Medicago truncatula: one gene and its partner. The protein of the gene in region 1 binds, or shares a complex with, the protein of each later gene. Links are inferred from orthologs where the notes say so. Each region holds a gene or a part of one and is shown in the gene's direction. Other genes may lie near its edges.

The links. The genes of interacting proteins can lie anywhere in the genome.
Region 2: condensin complex subunit 1 (region 1) and structural maintenance of chromosomes protein 4 share a complex: the UniProt entries of both Arabidopsis thaliana proteins name them as parts of the condensin complex. The link is inferred for Medicago truncatula from reciprocal best matches to the Arabidopsis thaliana genes AT3G57060 and SMC3.

Annotation. Positions count from the first base shown.
Region 1 is NC_053042.1:20,607,841-20,619,043, reverse strand, and holds the start of condensin complex subunit 1, read left to right. Parts: upstream 1-5,574; 5' UTR 5,575-5,666; coding exon 5,667-6,146; intron 6,147-6,744; coding exon 6,745-6,908; intron 6,909-6,985; coding exon 6,986-8,156; intron 8,157-8,380; coding exon 8,381-8,572; intron 8,573-9,250; coding exon 9,251-9,898; intron 9,899-10,022; coding exon 10,023-10,199; intron 10,200-10,511; coding exon 10,512-10,579; intron 10,580-10,680; coding exon 10,681-10,903; intron 10,904-10,988; coding exon 10,989-11,088; intron 11,089-11,195; coding exon 11,196-11,203. UniProt on the Arabidopsis thaliana protein: Essential protein. Regulatory subunit of the condensin complex, a complex required for conversion of interphase chromatin into mitotic-like condense chromosomes.
Region 2 is NC_053049.1:33,258,130-33,269,517, forward strand, and holds the start of structural maintenance of chromosomes protein 4, read left to right. Parts: upstream 1-6,208; 5' UTR 6,209-6,425; coding exon 6,426-6,539; intron 6,540-6,631; coding exon 6,632-6,721; intron 6,722-6,825; coding exon 6,826-6,927; intron 6,928-7,913; coding exon 7,914-8,090; intron 8,091-8,185; coding exon 8,186-8,316; intron 8,317-9,579; coding exon 9,580-9,658; intron 9,659-9,726; coding exon 9,727-9,884; intron 9,885-9,996; coding exon 9,997-10,072; intron 10,073-10,198; coding exon 10,199-10,327; intron 10,328-10,403; coding exon 10,404-10,548; intron 10,549-11,388. UniProt on the Arabidopsis thaliana protein: Central component of the condensin complex, a complex required for conversion of interphase chromatin into mitotic-like condense chromosomes.

The DNA of each region.
Region 1 (11,203 bases):
ATATAAAATCTATTTAATAAACATCCTTCAAAATCATCTTTAATTTTGCAGCGGAAAATTTGCATCAAAACAACAACAACAACAATTTAAATCTCCATAATTAAATCTTGGCATAAAAGCCTTATCAACATAAATTCAACAACCATAGGGCTACGTCAGCAATATTCAAAAATTGATACATAGGAATGAAAAACAATAAGAAAATCTCATCCCGTACGTATCAGAGCCCTAGACACTTTGAGCCACCACTCCTACTAATCTTCAGATACCTACAAGTTACCCATACGAAGGGCAACATTTCCAAGCAGAAGGGGTGAGATTTCTCAAACAATAATAATAAGTGTAAAATTCATCAATTACAATTAACAACATAGACATCACCATATGCACTCAATAATAATTCTTCTTAACATCCCCTTAATGCTCATGAATAGAAGACAACTTAACATAACCCTCCTCGAGTACATTTAACAACTCATAGGTAACATCATAACCTCATCATACTCATCAACATAAACAACGTAAGAGTACACCACCTCTTATAGACAACAACAAAGTAAGAGTACACCACCTCTTAGAAAAACGATAAAGTAAGAGTACACCACCTCTTATAAAAACGACAAGTAAGAGTACACCACCTCTTATCAAGACGACACGTAAGAGTACACCACCTCTTATAAAAACAACAAGTAAGAGTACACCACCTCTTATAAAACGACAAGTAAGAGTACACCACCTCTTATAAAAACGACACGTAAGAGTACACCACCTCTTATAAAACATCTAACATGATCAATCACCAACAACGGATACAACTACGACTTCAACAACAACACCAACGATGATAACAACATCGACAATTTGCATAACTTACTTATGACTCATTCGGCAACGTACAACCCAGCACGCTTACAATTTAAACCAACATTCACATCTTAATTAAGATCCAACAGCAACACTAGTAGCACACAGACATCCCAAAATATGACAATACCAAATGATAGTCAACACTACTTAAACATCATACATAATCCACATAAGGCATTTGCAAATTTACTATAAGATTAACAACCTCAACCATCTTTTATCAGACTCACTGAACATCAACAACATTTTAATAAACCTTAATTCCTAACCCAAGGATCAACTCACAACATGGGTTAAATACTCCTAAACACCTTAATTGAACTCATAGTACTTCTAGTTTTAAGGGTTGGAATTATCCCATAAGTTTTGGATTAACTTAGAAATGGTTATGCTGAATTTTCATAAGATTTCACTAAGACCTCCATTGAGTATTTTCATCATATCTCAAAAACTAAAAATCATTTTCAAGTCAAACCAACGCCATTGGAAAGCTAACAAAATTATCTACAACTTTCATGTTTACACCAAGACCCAGTTCAAAACGGAAAGGGGTGAAAATAGTGAAATAAGAGGGATCTGATTCACAGAAATCGTGTCACGATTTTAGAAAATCGTGCCACGTTTTTGTGCCCAGAACCATTGAATTTTCGGCCAACAAAATCGTGCCACGCTTGCCAAATCGTGACATGTTTTAACAGCATCAGGTCCAGAAATCTGCTTCTCAAAAAGTGCGATTTTCACCATTTCGCGCGTAAAATTTCAATCGTTAATCGGATTTTGGTGCCGTTTTCGCCTACACGCTCCTGACACTTGGCTCTATCTTAATCTACAGCAATTTCAAGTCTCAACCATCCCAAGGATCATTTTCCCCAAACCTCACATAGTCTCTTATTTGCAAAACGTTTAGACACCGACTTTTCAAGGGAAAATCCCAATTTTCATTAACCCAATTCAATCCCCAAAACTGATTACAACAATATTATATGACCAACCTATGATCAGAACACCAAAAGACTATAACCACAAAGGTTTTCTTACTCAATTCCAAATAATTTCAACAATTCAACCCTAATTCCCAAATTCCCAAATCAAGAACAACTACCTGTTACATCCAATTTCAAAATTATAAACTTAAGATTACTGAATGATAGTCCCACCCTTACCTTAGATTGATGACCAAAGCTCTACCCGATCTTCTCTTGGATACTCTTGGCTCCAGTGGCGGACCCACGTTGGGCTCAGGGGATGCAGCTGCATCCCCTCAAATTTTATAGTTGCACCTAATTTTCTAACTTTTTGTTGAATGAACCCCCTGAAAATTTAACTATGAACCCTCTGTCTTTACTCTCTCATTGAACTGTGTAAATGACTGCCTTGCATTACATTTTATTTGACCGAATGGATTGTGTCAGTGAGATGTGCATTATTCGCATTTTATTAAATTATTATTATAAAATTGTAAAAATGATTATATTATAAGGTTACAAACATATATAACTAAAATTCGACATTAGATAGTTTTCCTTTTAAAAAAATGTTCTAGCTAATTTAATAAACATATACTAAAATTTCATAATTTAAATGTATGTTTTATTTTTTTAGGTCAAGTAGCTTAGTCTCTAGAGCTCATACAATTAAGTTGTGGAGAATTGGAGTGTCCGATGTTCGAACCCCGACCCCTGCATATAAAATGCAATATTCCTACCAACTGAGCTAAGCTCACGAAGATATGTTTTAATTTATATACATTATAATAATTATTAATTGATGTTAAAAAGTTTACACAGTCACATGAGTTTAACTCAGCTGATAGAGGTATTGCAGTATGCAAGGTACTACGTTCGAACCTCAGATTCTTCGCTTATTCACTTTTAGAAGCGAAATTTTTGTCGTTAAAACTTGACAAAAAAAAATGTTTACACTCATATATTAGAGTCTGATTTGACCATCAATGTCAGGATTGTTAAGCTTCACATTCTTTGTGGTTATTCATGTTTAAGCATGATTTAACCATTTATATCCTCTGTGTGTGGATTTTTATGTGGAATTTATCACTCTGGCAATGTTAACAAAAAAAAAAAGTTTGCATCCCCTGAACTAGGGTCCTGGCAACGCCACTGCTTGGCTCCCTCTTGGTTTTTCTCCCAAAAAATGCTTCCACGTGAAAATGTTTCTTACTGATCGTTTCCAACTTCCCCAATTATAACACTTAACTCCTACTTAATTCCTATAATTAAAATATAACCCCAAAACTCCAATTATTCTAAATTCCCACTTATTCTATTAAATAGTAACATAACTTATTTAATAAAATATAACACACCACATAATAATATAAAATCATATATATATATATATATATATATATATAAAGACTTTAAATCGACCAATAATAATTAAATAAAATTGGGGCGTTACAAGTGTGTCTTTCCAAAAATCGTATTCAATCTTATCATCATTTTAGAATAGGAGTTGAAACAAAAAAATTCTCTAACTTTATGAAAGTATGATCATGCCTAAAGTTTTAAATCGTTTTCAGAAATTGATTAAAAAATTACACGGTCGCTGTCAAAAATCAGGGTGTAACATAAATTGAATTGATATATTAATGACGACACAAAAAATAAACCACTAATTGTATAGACGTATTATTTATCATATATGTTGAAAGAGAACAAACCCTATATTTATATTTAAAAATTTAAATGTAAGAAAAATATAAAGTTAAGTGTGAGAAAAATTAGAAAATTAGGAAAATTAACTAAGAAAATCTCACGAATAAACGTTGTTGTAATGAAGAAAGAGAATAAGATAATAACAAAAATACGATAAAATATCGTGTACGTAGTAAAAAAGAAAAATTAAAAATGATAAAATGGCTTACCTTTAATATTGGTTGCAACAAGAAATAGAGAAAGAAAGATAATAATAACATAAACATACTTGACAATTTCAGTCATATTCACCCCCTTTTCGTTTAAGAAATAGTTTTATAAACACATGTTCTCCATACCTTAATTAGGTATATTTTAGCCAAGGTTATTAAATCGGACCGGACCGTCCAGTTCAACTGGTTGGACCGGGAACCGGACCTGTATCCGGTCTGATCAAAGCTAAAAATCGTCAAGTACCAGAACCGGTTAAGAGCCGGTAAACCGGGAAAAAACCGAAATTTTGGAAATATATAAGCACAATATTTATAAAACACTATTTATACTTGGTAACATATTGTATGATAGACACTTACTCATAATCTTGGAGCGTAATGCCCAAAAGCTTACTGATCCTGCCATTAACCTCATTGTTGTCCTTCAGAACATCCCTTTCTACCACGTGGCCAATAACATCTGTAATTTGACAGGAAAACCTATATAAATCTCGCAATAAAAAAACCTAAATAACTACTAAATATATTATACAAACAGACAAACATATTATCTTTTCCTCTCTATCGGACTCTAGTATGTCATTAAAAGGCAGGATATCAAACTGATTCATAGGGATATTGCTTGCATCAAATTTTGTAAACTTTGTCCTCTCAATTAAATTGAGCTTGAATTTGTGATGAGTGGTTTGATACTTAGGATCGTTTCTGGCAACCAAAACATTCTCAACCTCATATGTAGCAACTTCTTCCACCATTGACTTAAACGTAGGAACCAAATGCTTTTTAGCACTGGCCTGAATCTTCCCAAGCTGCAAAAATATATAAATATATAGTCAGATGCAAAATGCTATTTCATCAACATATTTATCTAAAAAACTGGTCAAATAATATAACACAAAATTGTAACCTTATCGTCCAGCAACATCACGTGGATAGAATTATCCTCATTAGGCTTGTTAAATTCAGGAATTGTCCTGAGGTGTATCACACGAACGCGCAGCTTAATGTTGATTTTCCCAGCTACAATGGCGGCGGCAGGGGTTATGATTGGAGCCATATGAGCTGAATGGTTGGAATGAGCAAGCAGAAATAGGATGAAATTTAACTTTGATTTTTGGCCTTCATAAGTAGCTGAGGAGGATATATATTGAAAGCATCCATAACTCATTGTATGCATCCACACTCGGTATCAACCGTAAAGCATTGGAAAATGCCTGCATTTAAAACAACATAGTGCAAGGAAAATGGAAAAGCACAACAACTCATTGGGAAGGAAGCTAACATGGAATGCTATTGGAATACCAATAGTTAGTTTGTGTTACATTTTTGAATTTCAAATTGGCTTATTAAGTATGGCAATTTAGGTTCCCACTCAAGTAATTAGGGTTGGCAAAGTAGGGTTTGTCTATTGTACTTTTGGATTATATAATAAGATAAGATAAGATAAGATGACATTTTTGGAAAGAGAAAAAGTCAGTCCAAAAGAGCTGAAATGAGTAATTTTCTTTATATATTATATAATTTATATATATGAAGTAGGTGGTAGACGACGAATGTTTCCGTAGGGGATCTACCTAGCTGGAATGTTGTGGATTCATCTTCACGATGTTCGTACCTCTTTGTTTAAAAAAAGATTTACCACATCTGTTTTAAAGTAAGTGTTGTTTTAGCAAAAAAAATTGTAAAATTATTTTAAAATAAACATCACCTCAGTTTCCAATGCAATAATAATATTTTTTTTTTTTCAATTATATCATTCAATTAAAAATATTGATAATTGAGATTTGAGACCAAATTCTTGTTCCCGCTTCTATCCACTTCCACTTTCATTTGAATTTCGTAGTTAACCCAACGGTACGCTTCCACACAGACCAGATCCAACGCAACAGAAGAGAAAACCTCTCTCTCTTCCATGGCTCCAACCTTCGTCTTCCCTCGCACTCTCCAACACCTCGAACAAGATTCATCCTCCGAAGACAACGACAACAACAACAACAACAACAACAACAATCTCTCAGTCCAAAACCCTACAAACATCTCCTCCCTCTCTTCCTCCCAACTCGAAGAATTCGTCAAAGGCGTCTCATTCGATCTCTCCGACAGAGAAATCCTCTGCATCCAAGACCAAGACGTATTCGACCGTGTTTACTCTTTGGTTCGCGGTTACTCTTCTTTACATCATTCATGTAAACTCAACCTTGTTGAAAGTCTTCGTTCTAATCTCGCTGTTCTTCTTCCTAATGTTGATTCGCTTTCAAGGGTTTCTAATGAAGATGTTGATGATCATGTTCTTGTTGTTGACCGTGTTGCTTCTCATCGTAATGCTTTTAAAATTTACACTTACTTTCTTCTTAATATTGTTCTCGCTGAAGATTCCAACAATGCTCCTAAGGTATGTTTGGTTCGTTACTTTTAATTCAAATTGATTTTTCCTTTAAATTACTTTTTCATTCAAATTAGCTTTTCTAATTTGTAATATTATAGGTTTAAGATTTTAGGATAAATTTTAAGATTATAAATTATAATTGTTATTAGAGTAAAATAATCTAAACTTTAACCGCGTCTGACATTAATTAGTTTATGTTTAATTTTTGTTTCTACTGGGGCAAAAATTGATTCTGACATGTTTGGTTGTTCTCAATTATAATTGATTTTGACTTCCACAATTGATTCTACTTGAAGCTAGAAATTCAAGCTTTTAACTCTAGAATTGATTTGAACACTCAAATTTATTGTTCAATTCACTTTTATGTAAATGTACTTGAACATTAATCACCTTACCTTCAACTGGCTTTTAGCTATAATCAATTTACTCAAAATAAATTTTTCTCTGAGCAGAATCAGTTATAGTTCAGAATCACTTTTTCAAACACATTGTTTCGACAGGAATTTTGTATTCTCAGAACTAATGTGTTTGTCACTAAATTTTCAAGTTGAATTTGCGAGTTTATTCCCCATTTAGTTTGAAGCATGGTGTATTGCGGTTTCAGGTGGTAGCCGCAAGTAGCAGGAAGAAACAACCTGCGCATTCGTGGAATTGGGAGCCACAGAGAGCTCGGATACTAAATCTCATTGCAAGCTCATTGGAGATAAACCTTGAATTACTTTTTGGTTCATCTGACCCCGACGAAGGTTACTTGTCTTTCATCACAAAGTGAGTAGTGATATCCTTCTTTCTTAAGTTTGTTAACACTACATAGGACTTTCTGATTTTTCATCCACTTGTTGTAGAAACGCATTCACCATGTTTGAAAATGCCGCGCTTTTGAAAGATTCCAACTCAAAAGATGCCCTCTGTCGCATAATCGGGGCCTGCTCCACAAAGTACCATTACACGACACAGTCTAGTGTATCCATCATGCATCTGATTCACAAGTATGATTTTGCTGTCGTCCACATGGCCGATGCAGTTGCTGGTGCCGAAAAGAAGTATTCAGATGGAAGCCTTGCAACTTCCATTGTTAGGGAAATTGGAAGGACTAACCCAAAAGATTATGTCAAAGACACTATTGGTGCTGAAAATGTGGGGCGTTTTCTTGTGGAGTTAGCTGACCGTATTCCAAAATTGATATCAACTAACATTGGCATTCTTGTTCCTCACTTTGGTGGAGAGTCTTATAAGATTAGGAATGCTCTTGTAGCTGTGCTGGGTAAGCTAGTATCAAAAGCGTTTAAGGATATTGATGGTGAAGCGAGCACGAAGAACATTCGGTTACGCACAAAACAAGCTATGTTGGAAATTTTACTTGAGAGATGTAGGGATGTTTCTGCTTACACAAGGAGTCGTGTGCTTCAGGTGTGGGGGGAGTTATGCGAGGAACACTCAGTTTCGATTGGTTTGTGGAACGAGGTTGCGGAAATTGCTGCTGGGAGATTGGAGGACAAGAGTGCAATAGTCAGAAAATCTGCTTTGAATCTGTTGATCATGATGTTGCAGCATAACCCATTTGGTCCACAGCTCCGAGTAACTTCATTTGAGGCAACTTTGGATCAGTATAGGAAGAAGTTGAAAGAGCTTGAGCCTTCAGAAGGTTCTGACAATGAAAACTCTAACGTGGATGGTGAGGTAGATGATTTGAATTTTGAAGCTGTTGAGAAGGAGCGGCAAGAGAGTGTGACTGATACATTCATGTCACAGGAAGAAGATGCAATCCCTATGCAGAATGGTAGTGATAGTAGTGTGCCTGATGTTGGGAACTTGGAGCAGACTAGGGCCTTGGTTGCATCGCTTGAGGCTGGTTTGAGATTCTCTAAATGTATAGAGGCCACAATGGCTACACTTGTCCAATTGATGGCATCATCTTCTGCTTCTGATGTTGAAAATACAATTCTCTTGTTGATGAGGTGTAAGCAATTTCAAATTGATGGCTCAGAAGAATGTCTCCGAAAGATGTTGCCCCTGGTAAGCCGTAGTTCTTTCTATTGTCTAACAAGGATATTCAAGGTTTATGTAGTCGTTGCTTCAATGGACAAGTTGGAATGGTTCTGTATGATCCATGTAACTGACCCTGTCTGGTTAAGTCGATGGATGTTGTTGTTTCTTAAATATGTTATGTACTGCGTATATGAATTATAGATTTTTTCTGAAATTTATTCTTTCTTTCTGGCATTTGCTCTCGGTTGTAGGCATTTTCTCAGGATAAATCAATCTTTGAAGCAGTGGAGAATGCTTTCCGTGCAATATACATAAGGAAAAACCCAATGGAAACTGCCAAGAATCTCTTGAGTCTTGCAACTGATTCCAACACAGGAGATCTAGCAGCTCTTGAGTTTATAGTTGGCACACTGGTCTCTAAGGGAGATATATCTTCCAGCACAGTATGTTTTCATGCATCGGCTTGTATAATATGCTGTATAAAATAGTTAATTGAATGCCTCTAAATTTTTCTTTAGGACTATATTTTATACCCTAGAATTAGGAATCTGACTGTTTTTAGGCCTGAAAAGATAAATGCACTGAGGTCGCGAATTTTCAAGTTTATACTTCTATATTTCATTTCTGGGGATTTTACAATGAAATACAGTAATGAGCCTATATTTTTTAACAAAAATGACTGACTAGCAACACTACATCCTAGTTATGTCAAATGCCAAATGTCAATCCATACTGTAAAACAGTTCAGTGGTTCTTTTCTGAGTTAAATAAAATATTTTATAAGCTTTAAATATTTGATGTAAACAAGGCTGTATGTTTTCTTTAGTTTTATATCCCAGTCTAAAAATTTAAATTTTAAATATGATTTGGAATGAGATTGGATGATACTTTCATGCTTACATATCATTTGGTGAAAAATACTGCTCTTAAATAAACATAAAACGTGTACATTGGGAAGTAGGACTCAGATTGTTTATGCTGGCAATGGCTACAATCTCTTATTTGAATTAGTACGGGTGCTGTCTTTTATTTCCTATATCAAAATAAATTCTTGCTGTCATCATATTGAGTTTGGTTCTCATCATTGGTGTGATTTTCTCAAATTGTCTCCACTATCGCAGATATCAGCTTTATGGGATTTCTTTTGCTTCAATGTTGGTGGAACGACCGCAGAACAAAGCCGCGGTGCTTTATCCGTCCTTTGCATGGTTGAAAAGACATCAACTGGTGTGCTTGGCTCTCATTTACAAGACATCATTGATATTGGGTTTGGTCGTTGGTCTAAAGTTGATCCTTTACTGGCAAGGACAGCTTGCCTTGCTATCGAGAGGCTTTCTGAAGATGACAAGGCAAAATTGTTGGCAAATAATAGTGTTAGAATATTTGGCATTCTTGATAGTTTAATTACTGGCTTTTGGCTTCCAGCAAATATTTGGTATGCAGCTGCTGACAAAGCAATAACTGCCATTTATGCCGTTCACCCTACTCCAGAAATCATAGCAGCTGACATGATAAAGAAATCCCTCAGTTCTGTTTATAAGGATTGTGGTGGTAGTGACACTGACACTAGTAGCAGCATGCCAATCACAGTTCAAGTCGCAAAGCTGAGTAGATGTTTATTTGTCGTAAGTCATACTGCCATGAATCAATTGGTCTATATTGAATCATGTGCCCGTAAAATTCAGAAGCAGAAACTTGCAAAAGAGAGAGAGGACATTGAGAGTCAGAATACAGACAGCAATGGCACGGCGTCAACTGGCACACAGAAGGTGCAATCAGTGTTTTATACTGCTGTTCTGTCATACTTGATAGCTTTAACTAACTGTTATAAGCAACATATTTTGATCTTTTACTGTCAAATTCTTATAAATTTGACTTATTAATGTGCTGTAGGATAATGATATAAATGCCGAGTTAGGATTTGCAGCCTCTGAGGATGCTGCACTTGATGCAATGTTTGAAAAAGCAGAAAAGGAAATTGTTTCTGGCGGTTCAAAGGACAAGAATTTGGTTGGTATCTGTGCAACCTTTTTGTCAAAGCTTTGTAGAAATTTTGGACTACTGCAGAAGGTGATTGCTTTGATATCCAATCCTCCTTCATAAAAATGAACTATCTTGCATTTTGTACTGATCTGTTCATGATTTGGTATCTTTTTTGGTCATCATGCGTATAATGAATGACTGTATATGGAAACCATCACTTACATTTGAAATGGGAAAATTGAATATAATTTCTATTGATAATTATTGTCTCACATACAATTTTAAAAGATCATAGGAAATCAACTTTTTTTATTTTTATCTTTATATATGATGCTTTCACGGCTTTAATTCATGATTTTGTTGTTTGATAAAATAAAATAACCATTTCCATTTCGTCAGTATCCAGAATTACAGGCTTCTGCAATGCTAGCTTTGTGTCGATTGATGGTCATTGATGCAGACTTTTGGTGAGTTACTGTCAATTCTATACCTCTTATCCTAAATTTCTCCCCCCACTTTATCTATGCCTTATAATTAAATGAAGATGTTCTAAATGAATTGTTTTCAGTGATGCAAATCTTCAGCTTCTCTTCACAGTTGTGGAAAATGCACAGTCAGAAATTGTCCGTTCTAATTGCACTATTGCACTAGGAGATTTAGCAGTAAGGTTTCCCAATCTTTTAGAACCATGGACTGAAAAAATGTATGCCCGCCTACAAGATACTTCTATATCTGTTAGGAAGAATGCGGTTCTGGTGCTTTCCCATCTCATACTAAATGACATGATGAAGGTAGAGTCGCGTAAATTGTTAATATTCTCTTTATCCCTTTCGATTTTGTAGTGCTTTAGACACTGATACGTCATTTCTCTATCAGGTGAAAGGGTACATTAATGAAATGGCTGTTAGATTAGAAGACGAAGATGAGAGAATTTCAAATCTGGCTAAGCTGTTTTTTCTTGAACTTTCCAAGAAAGGTTTTTCCTTATAATTTTATCTTTTGTATTAAAGTGTCTGCTATTATTTGCGATATTACATTTTTCAAGGTAGGAAGGTATTTAATAGTCTCCTGGCATTACAACAGGTAACAAT
Region 2 (11,388 bases), on another chromosome or scaffold:
TAATCAACCATAGTTTGTTTATCAAACTAGTAATTTGTGGTTGAAACATTTTTTTTTGAGGAATTTGTGATTGATACATGACAACCGTAATACTTTTCTTTGCAAATATTGCATTTTTTTTATAACAGCAAAATATTACATTCTTTTGTGGAAGCAAAATATTAAATCTTCATGATATTGTTTAAGAGTTTAATAGAGGTTGGTTGACGGTTCAAAATAATTTTACCTACACAACCTAAAAAATATTTAAAATCGCCACATCAATTAATATTATGCATAAAATATTGTAATTGTTTACAAAAATATTTTTAAAGGTCAAACATCTCAAATCCAAATATGTAATATTGAAGAAAATTGATTTTTGACCATGTAATATTGAAGAAAATTGATTTTTGACCATTATGATGTATGATTGAAAATATTTTTATTTAGAAAAAGTCTTAATTGTATTTTTTTTTTCTTTCTAAATCAAGAATTTAGTGACATCAAGGATAGAAAACATCCCAACTAGATTGACACCTAAGCTCCTATCCTATGAAGCCTAGATACATGATACGATACGGTACCGATACGCTGATATGGGAAAACTTTAAAATTCAAGATACGATACGACTGAGATACTTTAATAAAAAATTAAATTTAAACTACATATTAAAACTCAAAATACAAAATATGAACTAAAACTCAAAAGCAAAAAAATTGGCGCAAAACCTAGACCAAACAGACATAGAAAAACGATACGGCACAACAATGAAATTGCCTTCACACAACAATTAACAATTGCATCGTTCTCAAACAAACAAAGAGACACAAAACAGACGGCGACAACAATAGAAATATAAATGTAAGTAATATTGATAATAAAGAAAGCGACAATTAGTCAATTACATATATGATATATCCTAAAAAGAATACATCGTTACTTAGTCAATTAAATATATACCAAATACAGTAGAATCATCAGGTAGCCCGCACATTTTGGTTTTCCACTGCCTACCTCTCGTATCTCAGATGTATCTGAAAAGTATCAGATAATTATTTTTTTAAAAAAATTAATATTCGGATACTCTCCTGATACGTATCGGAAAGTATCGAGCAAATATTGATGCAAGATACGCAGGATATACAATACGTCATCTATTTTAAATTATCTCGAGTCATATCACATATCTAGGGCTAATAAGTATTATTAAAAAAAATGGAAAGATATATACAAATAGGGGGACTATACCGTTACCCCAAAAGGAAAAAGCAAAAAGAAGTTCCACCACGTAAAAATTAATGATGTATGACCTAGGGCAACTAGTTTGTCGGCATAGGTATTACTCTTTTTTTTTTTTTAATTATAAGTAAATTTGACTTTTTAAGTTTATTCGATTAATAACACATGTGGTACATAATAAATACTACATACATCATTAATTAAAAAGTCAATTTTCTTATAATTAGCAACAGAGGGAATACCTTCTCTAACTAAACCAGATTTTATGTAAGGTAACTTTGAGACTCAGAGATGCCTATCCTCTGAATGTTCTAGTAAAGGAACTTTCATTGAGAACTTGCTGGAAGAGGACTCATAGAAGAATATTGTGTGTTTCGACTGCTCTCGCTAATTATACCTGCATTTTCTTTGTCCTTTTGTTACAAACGGCGTAAAAGATGATTGATCCATTATGTTTATTTTAAGTTTAAATTTTATTTCATTATGTTTTAAAAGTTTTAAAATGATCCAAAACGTTATTTGCGTTGGAATAAGTTAGTCAAATCCGTCATTCAACCATTTAAATTAAACATGTGACTAACATATTACACACTTCGATAATTAAATAATAAAAAAGGCCACATAATTGTGAGTTTAATGGAAAAAAAAAACAGAAAACAAAAGAAAAACTTAATAAAAAACCTTACAAAGTTTCATATTCGCAACAACAACAACCTCATCATCTTTCTTCTTAACCCTCTTTTTGTACAATTTACCAACCCAAAACCCTCATCCTTCTTCAATCTTTCTTATCATCATTTCCCCCTCTTTCTTCCATCATACGTAAAAAATTATATATGATCTATATCATATAAGTTTACAATCAAATGTTCAAATTTAAAAAATATATGTAGAGTAAAACGATATTGAAAGGTGTAACATTACATTAGTGTAATTTGATTTCTTATATATATATAGCTGTTAATTAATATACATCCACCTAAAAATACTAAGGTGTAAATTAGCAAATTCCACCCACCTAGAATCATTAAAGTGTAAGTTAGCAACCTACATCCACTTGATTATTTACACTCATTTTTATAAATTTTATCAAATTATTTACACCTATCTCACTAATTTACACTCACTTTCATCATTCCAAATATTGTTTCCTTAAAACATAAAAAAAAAAAATTATTTCCTTCAAAGTTTGTCCATCTTATACTAAAAAGAACATGTAATTACACTAGCTTGTTCTAAAAAAAAATAGTTGTTTCATCTATATACAACAATTTCTAATTTTCTTTTAAGGTTAAATATATTTTTGGTTCCTATAAAATTGGAAACTTTTAAGTTTAGTATTTACTTAATTTTAATAGTTTTTTTAATCCCTACAAAAAATATTTACATGTAATTCCAGTCCTTACTAAAACAAAGTTTGTTTAATTGTCCTTAAACTCTTAAAAAAATTTAATGATTCAAAGAGTCATAACTGCTGCTTACTTTTCTGCAACCAAACAGGCAACTTTCTCACAGATAAAAATTGCAATCTCTAACCCTTAACTCTTTTATTTTATATCGTCAAACTAAAATAAGTAACGCAAATTGTTTGGATGAAACGACAATCCTTGTGGACTGGATACGATACTCTACTTATCACTTTATTACTTAATAAACGATTTGATACACTTGCCTAATCCGACCATCATTGCCCTTCATTCCTAGCACATACATAACCTTCTTTACTGGTGCTTTATTGTCATCTTTCATTCTGATAGCAATATCTCCAATGCCTTCTGCTATAATTTGCAAATTTGACATTTGTCTTCTTGATAGAATCAAAGTTGACGAGTCATTCCTTATGTCTAGTCATGTGATTTGAACACCTAGTATCATGGTACCATTCCTCACGTAAAGGATCAACTTCGCATGTAGTAGCCATCAATAGAACTACCTCATAATCAAAATTATCGTGAGCAAAATTAGCCTTCTTCACCTTTATAATTTTTCTTTCAATCTTTCTTATGCCAACACTCATCAGCATATTGAACATACTTCTCACAATTATATCACTATACATTTCTCCTGTCAAATTATTTCTTCTTATTCTAATTGTTTCTAGAACATTCTCCTCCTTTAGATGATTCAGCTTTATAACAAAGTCTTTGACCAACTTCCTTTTTTGAACATTCCTTTACCTTTATTCTTTAAATACTTATCATATTAATCTTTCTTGGTAAATTGTGGTTACAATGCTTGTTGTACTGACATTTTTTAACTTATTTCAATCACCAGCATCTCATGTACTTCTAGAGAGGATTGAAGTTTTTCTTTCTTCATAGTTTTAACATCCTTGGACTTTTAAATGGTTACAATTATGAAATCAAACTTTGAGGTCAAAGTTCTTATTACCTTTGCAACAACTTGTTGATCATAATAGTTTCTCCACATGCTTTCATCTGGTTCACTACATAAAGCAATTTTGATAAGTGATAAATGATTCTTTGATATTCGTCCATCATCATCAATTCATACTTCCTCATCAGGGGTTGAAGCTTCACTTGCTTTACATGATCATTTTCTTCATAATATTTCTCCAATTTAACCCAGGCTTCCTTTGATCTTGTGATATTTGAAATCTTTTCAAAGTGGTTTGTATCAACATTTTTCTAGTTGTAGAATAGTGTCTTGCAGTCTTTCTTTTTCAATTCCTTAAAAGCAGTTCTTTGCACCTCTATAGGATTCGCATGATCCAGATCCTCATAGCCATTATGTACCAATTTAAGAACATCTTGAGCACCATTATACAACTTAATCAATGCACTCCATTTTTCCTAGTTATTTCTATCCAAAGTTAACAAATTTGATGGGGCAAAGCCTCCATTAGTACCCATGATTGCTTTGCAAGAAATTCCAAAATTTCACACACTTCACTCGTATTTCTCAGAGATCATCTGTTTCCCATAACCAAAACCCAAGGCTCAAGATGCCAAATATTATAGCAACAATAGGTTTCTTGTATTGGAAGTAAGAGGATTAATGAATAAACAAATGAAAGAGTATGAATGAGTTAGAAAAAAGAAAGAGTTCGTTGTAATCTAGTTATTCATTGATTGATGAAAAAGAGCATTGCAATTAGTTATATACACTTGACTTGTTATGCAAGTTATCAGTAACTACTCAGCAAAGTCCAGAAATGGTTATGTAACTAACTACCCTATGATTATGGATTAATATTCTAACATGAGAGAGTCACTTAATTTATGAGGAAAACAAATCTATTTCTACCCCAAAGAATACATAACTCGTAATCATCATGAAAGCACTAAATAATACAAACAATTGTGAAAAACCGAAGAGCAAAAATGATCAAATCACTCAATAAACATGAAAGCACTAAATCCATAAATTTTGAAATATGGTATTCATGTGAGCAGCAATTTGAATAACAACAAATCAATGAACACAAATAGTGATAGAGTTCCCTCAAATCAATTGAAATTATAGCATAGATTCGAAGTGATGATTATAATGATGCAATTGAAGAAACAAAAATGATTGGGAATGATGGATTTTATCGAACGAAGATCAAGAAATTGAAGATAAATTGTGGTGTATAAACCCTACCAAGAAGGTTTATCACAAGAACGATTGAGAATGATGGATTGCATCAAATGAAGACCGTGACATTGAAGCAAAATTGTGATGGATAAAACGAAGGTTTTGCACAAAATTGTGATTAATCTAAGTGAGTTTCATACATCATTCTTTCAACATTGTCGGTAGGAGTATTATCCTACGAGGGCAGATTTTTTTTTCAGTTTTATCTAAAGGAAATGAACTCCGACTGAAGTTTGAGTTTTCAATTTATATAGAAAATAAATTAAGTACCACATTGCATTAATGGCAAGTGTCTCCTAAATTTAAATCTTTGGCGATTTGAATAGCTGCTGAGGCTTCTTGGACATTATTCTTCTTGAATTCTTCAAGTAGTCCTGATGATTTACTCTGGTCTTCGAAGTGTCTTGGTCTTGAATTGCCTCTGCTTGATTCGAACACTAAGTGACCTTTTTCAATCAGAATGCAATTGACTTGCTCGAAATATAAGTTGAAAATTGCATGTAACGATATATGTGGAGTAACATATAAGTATCAGATAAAATATTTTTTAAAAAATAAAAATAATTATGTTACTTTATGTGTACGTAATTGCGAGTATCCATGAAATATCCATACCCGATACAAATACGTCTTCATGTTTGAAGCCTTCAAAAACCGTAGGCTTTGTTTGGATGGCAATATAAAGTGGAAAGAAATAACGTAGAAGGAAAGAATGTTGAAGGAATGAAAGTGAATACAAAGTAAGATGAATTCAAGATTGTTTGGTAGGAATGAAAGTGAAAGGAAAGAAAATTTTATATATTTAGTGGTAAATGACATAAATACTTATATTTATTCTCATTCAAAAAATACTTATATTATTTATCCAAGAACAATTGCGTCAAAGAAAAAGAAATATTTATGATTTTTCAGATATAAATAATTTGGTAAACAAAATTTGAAGTAACTTAATTGATAGATTTTCTAAGAACAATTGAATTGAATTGTTTCTTTGGTCATCTATTAAAAAACTGAAGTATAATGATATATTAAATTAATAAATTTAAATTACTATGCTTTAAATACTTAAATATTAATTGATATCAATTTTAGTATGAATTAAGAATGTCCGTTTATGCCATTTTACATTTATCAGCTATCAGTTATCAATCATTAACTATAAACTATTCATTATTAACCATCAGCTATCCGTTATTTTTAGCAAATAGAACGTTTAACTCTTATGTCACCTTTTCGAGCGTAGGAGAGGGGATTGATTTTTGGGTGGAGCCCACCAATACTTTCTTTTCTTTCTACTGATTAGCCAAACAGAAAAAAGTAATCCTCTATCATATATTTCTGACCTTCTTCTTTCTCTTCAACCAAACAATGTATTTGTTTAGGTTGAGTACAATTTCCCCAATTCCCTCATTTCAAAATTTGAAACCCTCCCCAAAATTTCACTTACCGCCAACGTGCTTTTCCACTTCAACTTCCACTTCGAATTATTGCAACTTAACATAACCGTGGAGAAAATCGAAAGTCAAAAAGATACTCTTCTTCTTCACTTTCTTCTCGATCTGTGCCCTAAATTCCCAAACAAACCCTAATTCGTTCCAATTCAATGGAATCGCAACCTGAATCAGCTCGCGGACGACCTAGGCTCTTCATCCAAGAAATGGTGATGCGGAACTTTAAATCTTACGCCGGCGAACAACGCGTTGGTCCCTTTCATAAGGTTTGATTTAGATTCTTCCATTTTTTGAATTCAATTGGTTTAATTGGTTCAATTTTACTTGAAGTTAAAATTTGGTGAAATTTTGGTTTCAGAGTTTTTCGGCTGTGGTTGGACCGAATGGAAGTGGGAAGAGTAATGTTATTGATGCTATGTTGTTTGTGTTTGGAAAACGAGCCAAGCAGGTGCGTTTTTGAGAATATTCTAGAAAGTAATTCGTGCTTGGAAAGTTTTTTTTTTTTTTTTTGTTTTGTGAATTTTTTGTTTAATTGGGAACTTGTGGTTGCAGATGAGATTGAATAAAGTTTCGGAGCTTATACATAATTCTAGCAATCATCAGAATTTGGATAGTGCTGGGGTTTCTGTTCATTTTCAGGAGATTGTTGATTTGGTACCTTTTCTTATTTACTCTGCTTTGTTGGTGCTATTTAGATTTTTATTGTTATCTTTGTTGAAGATGAGATATAAATTGGGCAAGCAATAAATTCTTTAAATTTGACTTCCAATATTTTTTTTTTTTTTGTGAAGAACGAAAAGATTGTAGATATTTTTTTTTGTTTTCAATTTCATTTGATATATTATCACTATAGTCTGCGTTGTTATGATATAGTGGTTTGGCTGTGAGGATATTTTATGTGTGTGCCTGGGTTCGATCCAGGGTCTCCACATTTCCCCTCTCCTGTGTATGTTTATTTGAGTATGTGTTAGCCACTAGGCCAATAGCAAACAAAAATATAAATATATTTTGACTATTAATTCTAAAAATGGCATCGCTTCTCTTCACTTTATTTCATGATTTTTAGAATTTACAAAAGGTTAAATAAGAAAGGAAGTATAACCAGAATGTAAAACTAAAGAAGGAACAAAGCTGAAAAGAATTTGGGCTTTTGGGTATAACTCAACCCCATGAGGAATGAGGACTGTCCAAACTTTATAAGCACTACTTAAGCCATATCTCTAGGTGATGTGAGTTTAAACCCACCCCCTAACGCTATGTAAGCCAGTACAATGAAGGTCATGGAGGCTGCAATGAAAGCAGCCCTGTTCCGAAATTACGGTGGCTAGAGGTGTGTCGCAATTAAGGTGGAATTTCCAGCAGACATTTAGTAGTAAAACTTATCAATGGAAAATCAAGGGGGAAAATGATAAGCGCCCTTAGTTTACACACCGGCCCCTTACTCTTGGCTTTTTAATTATTTTTTGTTTGCTTATTTTCCTTTGGTTTGTTCTGTCACGAGCTTGTTTTTAAGTAGACCTTTATACCACACTGCCAGTGGTAAGAAGAGTTTTCAGATTTACAGTTTGATGACCCTTTAGTGTTTTTCATCTTTGATCTTTCATATTTAAAAATTAGAATTGAATTTTGTATGGCTGCAGGAAGATGGAACATACGAGACTGTTCCTGGAACTGACTTTGTGATTACAAGGGTTGCTTTTCGGGACAACTCCTCTAAGTATTACATTAATAACCGTTCAAGTAACTTCACTGAAGTTACCAAGAAATTGAAGGGAAAAGGTGTTGACCTTGACAATAATAGGTTTCTGATCCTTCAGGTTGGTTATTTCATATAAGATGCTTTTAATTTATATTTTTTTGCAGGTGGTTGGTCCTATATATCTCTTTTGATGCTTGAACTGTTTCTTATCAGGGCGAAGTTGAGCAGATTTCACTTATGAAACCAAAATCTCAAGGACCTCATGATGAAGGCTTTCTAGAATATTTGGAAGATATCATTGGGACCAACAAATATGTAGAAAAAATTGATGAGTCATATAAACAGTGAGCACTCTTTCTCCATTTCAATTCTGGAATGCAAACTTCTGAATGAACATTAAAAAAGCATAGATACTGTTTGTTGTTGTTGCTGCCTAATTTGGTTTGATTTGCTAATTACAATTAAATATATGGGGCACACATAAGAGGTTTTTTTGGAGTTTATTTGGGGTTATGTGTGACATAAATACCCAAGCAAGTATTAGGATAGACTTATAAACATAGCTTAAGGCCTACCCATAAGTTCTTGGGTCATTTTAATAAGCTTCTCATATAAGCTTACGAAAGTTAATATATGTCATAAGCTCTTTTGACATGAGCTATAATTTGATAAAGCTCTCATTACCTACCTATAAGCTCTCATGTTATAAGCTGTTTACTAAACTGCTTATGACGTGTTTACCCAAACTAACAGTGGTTCAGTTCACTTTTTTGATTTAAAACATCTTATGATCAGTTAGGAAACTAAGAAAACTGATTGATAGGAAACTAAATTTTGTGTGGTTAAAGATACCATTACATGTAAGAAGATAACTATACAAGATAAGGATATACAGAAAAAGTAGTAAAGACTGGATAAGCAGCAACTCAAGGGGCTGCAGCCTCCCAGTTCCCTAGCACCTGAATCACTTTATTCCTCTCCTATACATAAGACCAATTCAGTCATATTAGATTGACAAACTCCTTTCTTGTTCTCCACTCACGTTATGTTACAACCACTTAATAGACAACAGCCCCTATTCCCAGTCACTCAGATATTCTGTTATAACGGCTGAGAGTCATACATTGGATAGTGATCAACAACAACCACCAAGCCTTTTCCCACTAAGTGGGGTCGGCTACATGAATCAAACGACACCATAGTGTTCTATCAAAAACCATGTCTTTTTCCAACTCATTTATCTCTAGATCCTTCCTAACAGTTTCTTGTATAGTTTTTCTAGGTCTACCCCTACCTCTACATTGGATAGTGATATGGCATGAAAAGTGGTTATAAGTGATGAACATCCCTCATCTTAAAAGTTGGTTTTCTGGACTTGATTTAGGCCCAACCCATCCACATCTCTCTAGCAAGCTGCGGCAGCTGTTATACAGCTATCATCACTTAACTGCCTAAGCTACTAATTACAAAAGAAAGTATAAACTATATATACTCTATAATAAGGACCCGTTTTTCATACTTTATTGGTGACACACTGCTTAAATAATCACTTGGATTTCAGTTATAGTATATAATTTCTAATGTCTGAAGTATTGTTGATGTTTTAGGTTAGAATCTCTAAATGAGAGAAGATCCGGTGTGGTGCAAATGGTCAAGCTATCTGAGAAAGAAAGAGACAGCTTGGAGGCATGTAAAATTGTGGTTATATGGATCACTTGATATTTGAACAACCCCTAACAGTTTTTTTGAAACAGGATGTGAAGAATGAAGCAGAAGCATACATGCTCAAAGAGTTATCTCTGTTGAAATGGCAAGAGAAGGCTACAACGCTAGCTGTTGATGATACAGGGGGAAAAATGGATGAGTTACAAGTGGGTGTTGCTAGCCTGGAAGAAAATCTTAAGGCAGAAAGGTAATTTTGAATTTCACCTTTAGTTTCTTTGTCTATATATATGTATCACTTTCCTAACTATTCGCCTTTCTTATTCTTGACTCATGAAGAACTCTGTGATATCTTATTCCAGGGATAAGATCCAAGAAAATAAACAGATTCTGAAAGAGCTTGAAACTAAGCACAACAAGTATATTCAAATACAAGAGGTTTGCACGACATGGGACTTGACTTGAACTTATCAGTGTGCATGACGACATGGCATGGCATTATATGCTTGGTGATAAGCTCATCAGGTAGTAACCAAGTTTTTTCTTCTCTTATTCATGTAACAGGAGCTAGATAATGATATGAGGAAGTGTAAGGAAGAATTCAAGGAGTTTGAGAGGCAGGATGTCAAGTTTCGAGAAGATTATAAGCACATGAATCAGAAGATCAAGAAGCTGGAGGATAAAGCGGAAAAGGTAATGGGAATACATGATTTATTGCACTTGAATATATGTATGAGAGATGTGCCTTATCCATTCATTCGTATTTCAGGATTCATCAAAAATCGAAGCTCTTGTGAAAGAGGGTGAAAACTCAAATGATATGATACCAAAACTTGAGGATAATATCCCTAAACTGCAAAAGTTGTTGACCGATGAGGAGAAGGTCCTCGAAGAAATCACAGAGAGTTCTAAAGGTAGACCCTTGTCCTTTTTAAGTACTGATATGCTTGAAGTTGCCTTTAATTAAATTTGATTTACTGAATTCCTTTCCATATGATGCTTTTAGTCATAACCTCATTAAAACTTTTCAGTTCTTAAAGATGCTTCCTTGCAACATTTGTCGTTTACCATATTGATTGTTAAACTTATAATGCTTGGCTTGGTTAGGTTCTCAATTCTGATACATAGCCGATTTTCCTGGATTTTAGCTTATCCAAATATAAATTGATAGATAATAATGATTTTAATACGTTTGATTGGTTCAATATAATTGTGAACTGGTGCTTGACCCTCAGCAAGGCTCAATCAACTATATGAATTTTTTTCTTCTTTCTATTGAACCAATTGTCAATCAGTTATTAAACTACCAAGGTATGAGCCAATGCATATTGGTTTAGTCTCTTCTTAAAAAATAGTAGGTTGCTTGATGGGAAAACTGAACCTCGTTTTTGGTATTTCATGCTAATTTTTAAATATTTTAATAGAGAGAGAGAGAGTGAAAGAGCATTGCACTTGAGAAGAGAAGGCGAAGTATAAAAATCAATTGATTTCTCACACTACTGTTACATGTTTATAGGTTCTCTGCTGCATATCGTAATTAAAAAGTTACTACAGCATAAAATTAGAAAATAAAAACTGTGCCTCATCTACTGATTGTCTTCTTATGCCGTGGAAGTACTTCAACCTCCTGCGGTCCTTCATTTTGAACTAAGCTGCCAACTTATCCCTCAAAATCTGTTTTTCTTCTTCATCAGCCTGTCCAAATTATATTAAATTGATTCCATATGCACAAATGGAGCCAATATATTCTACGA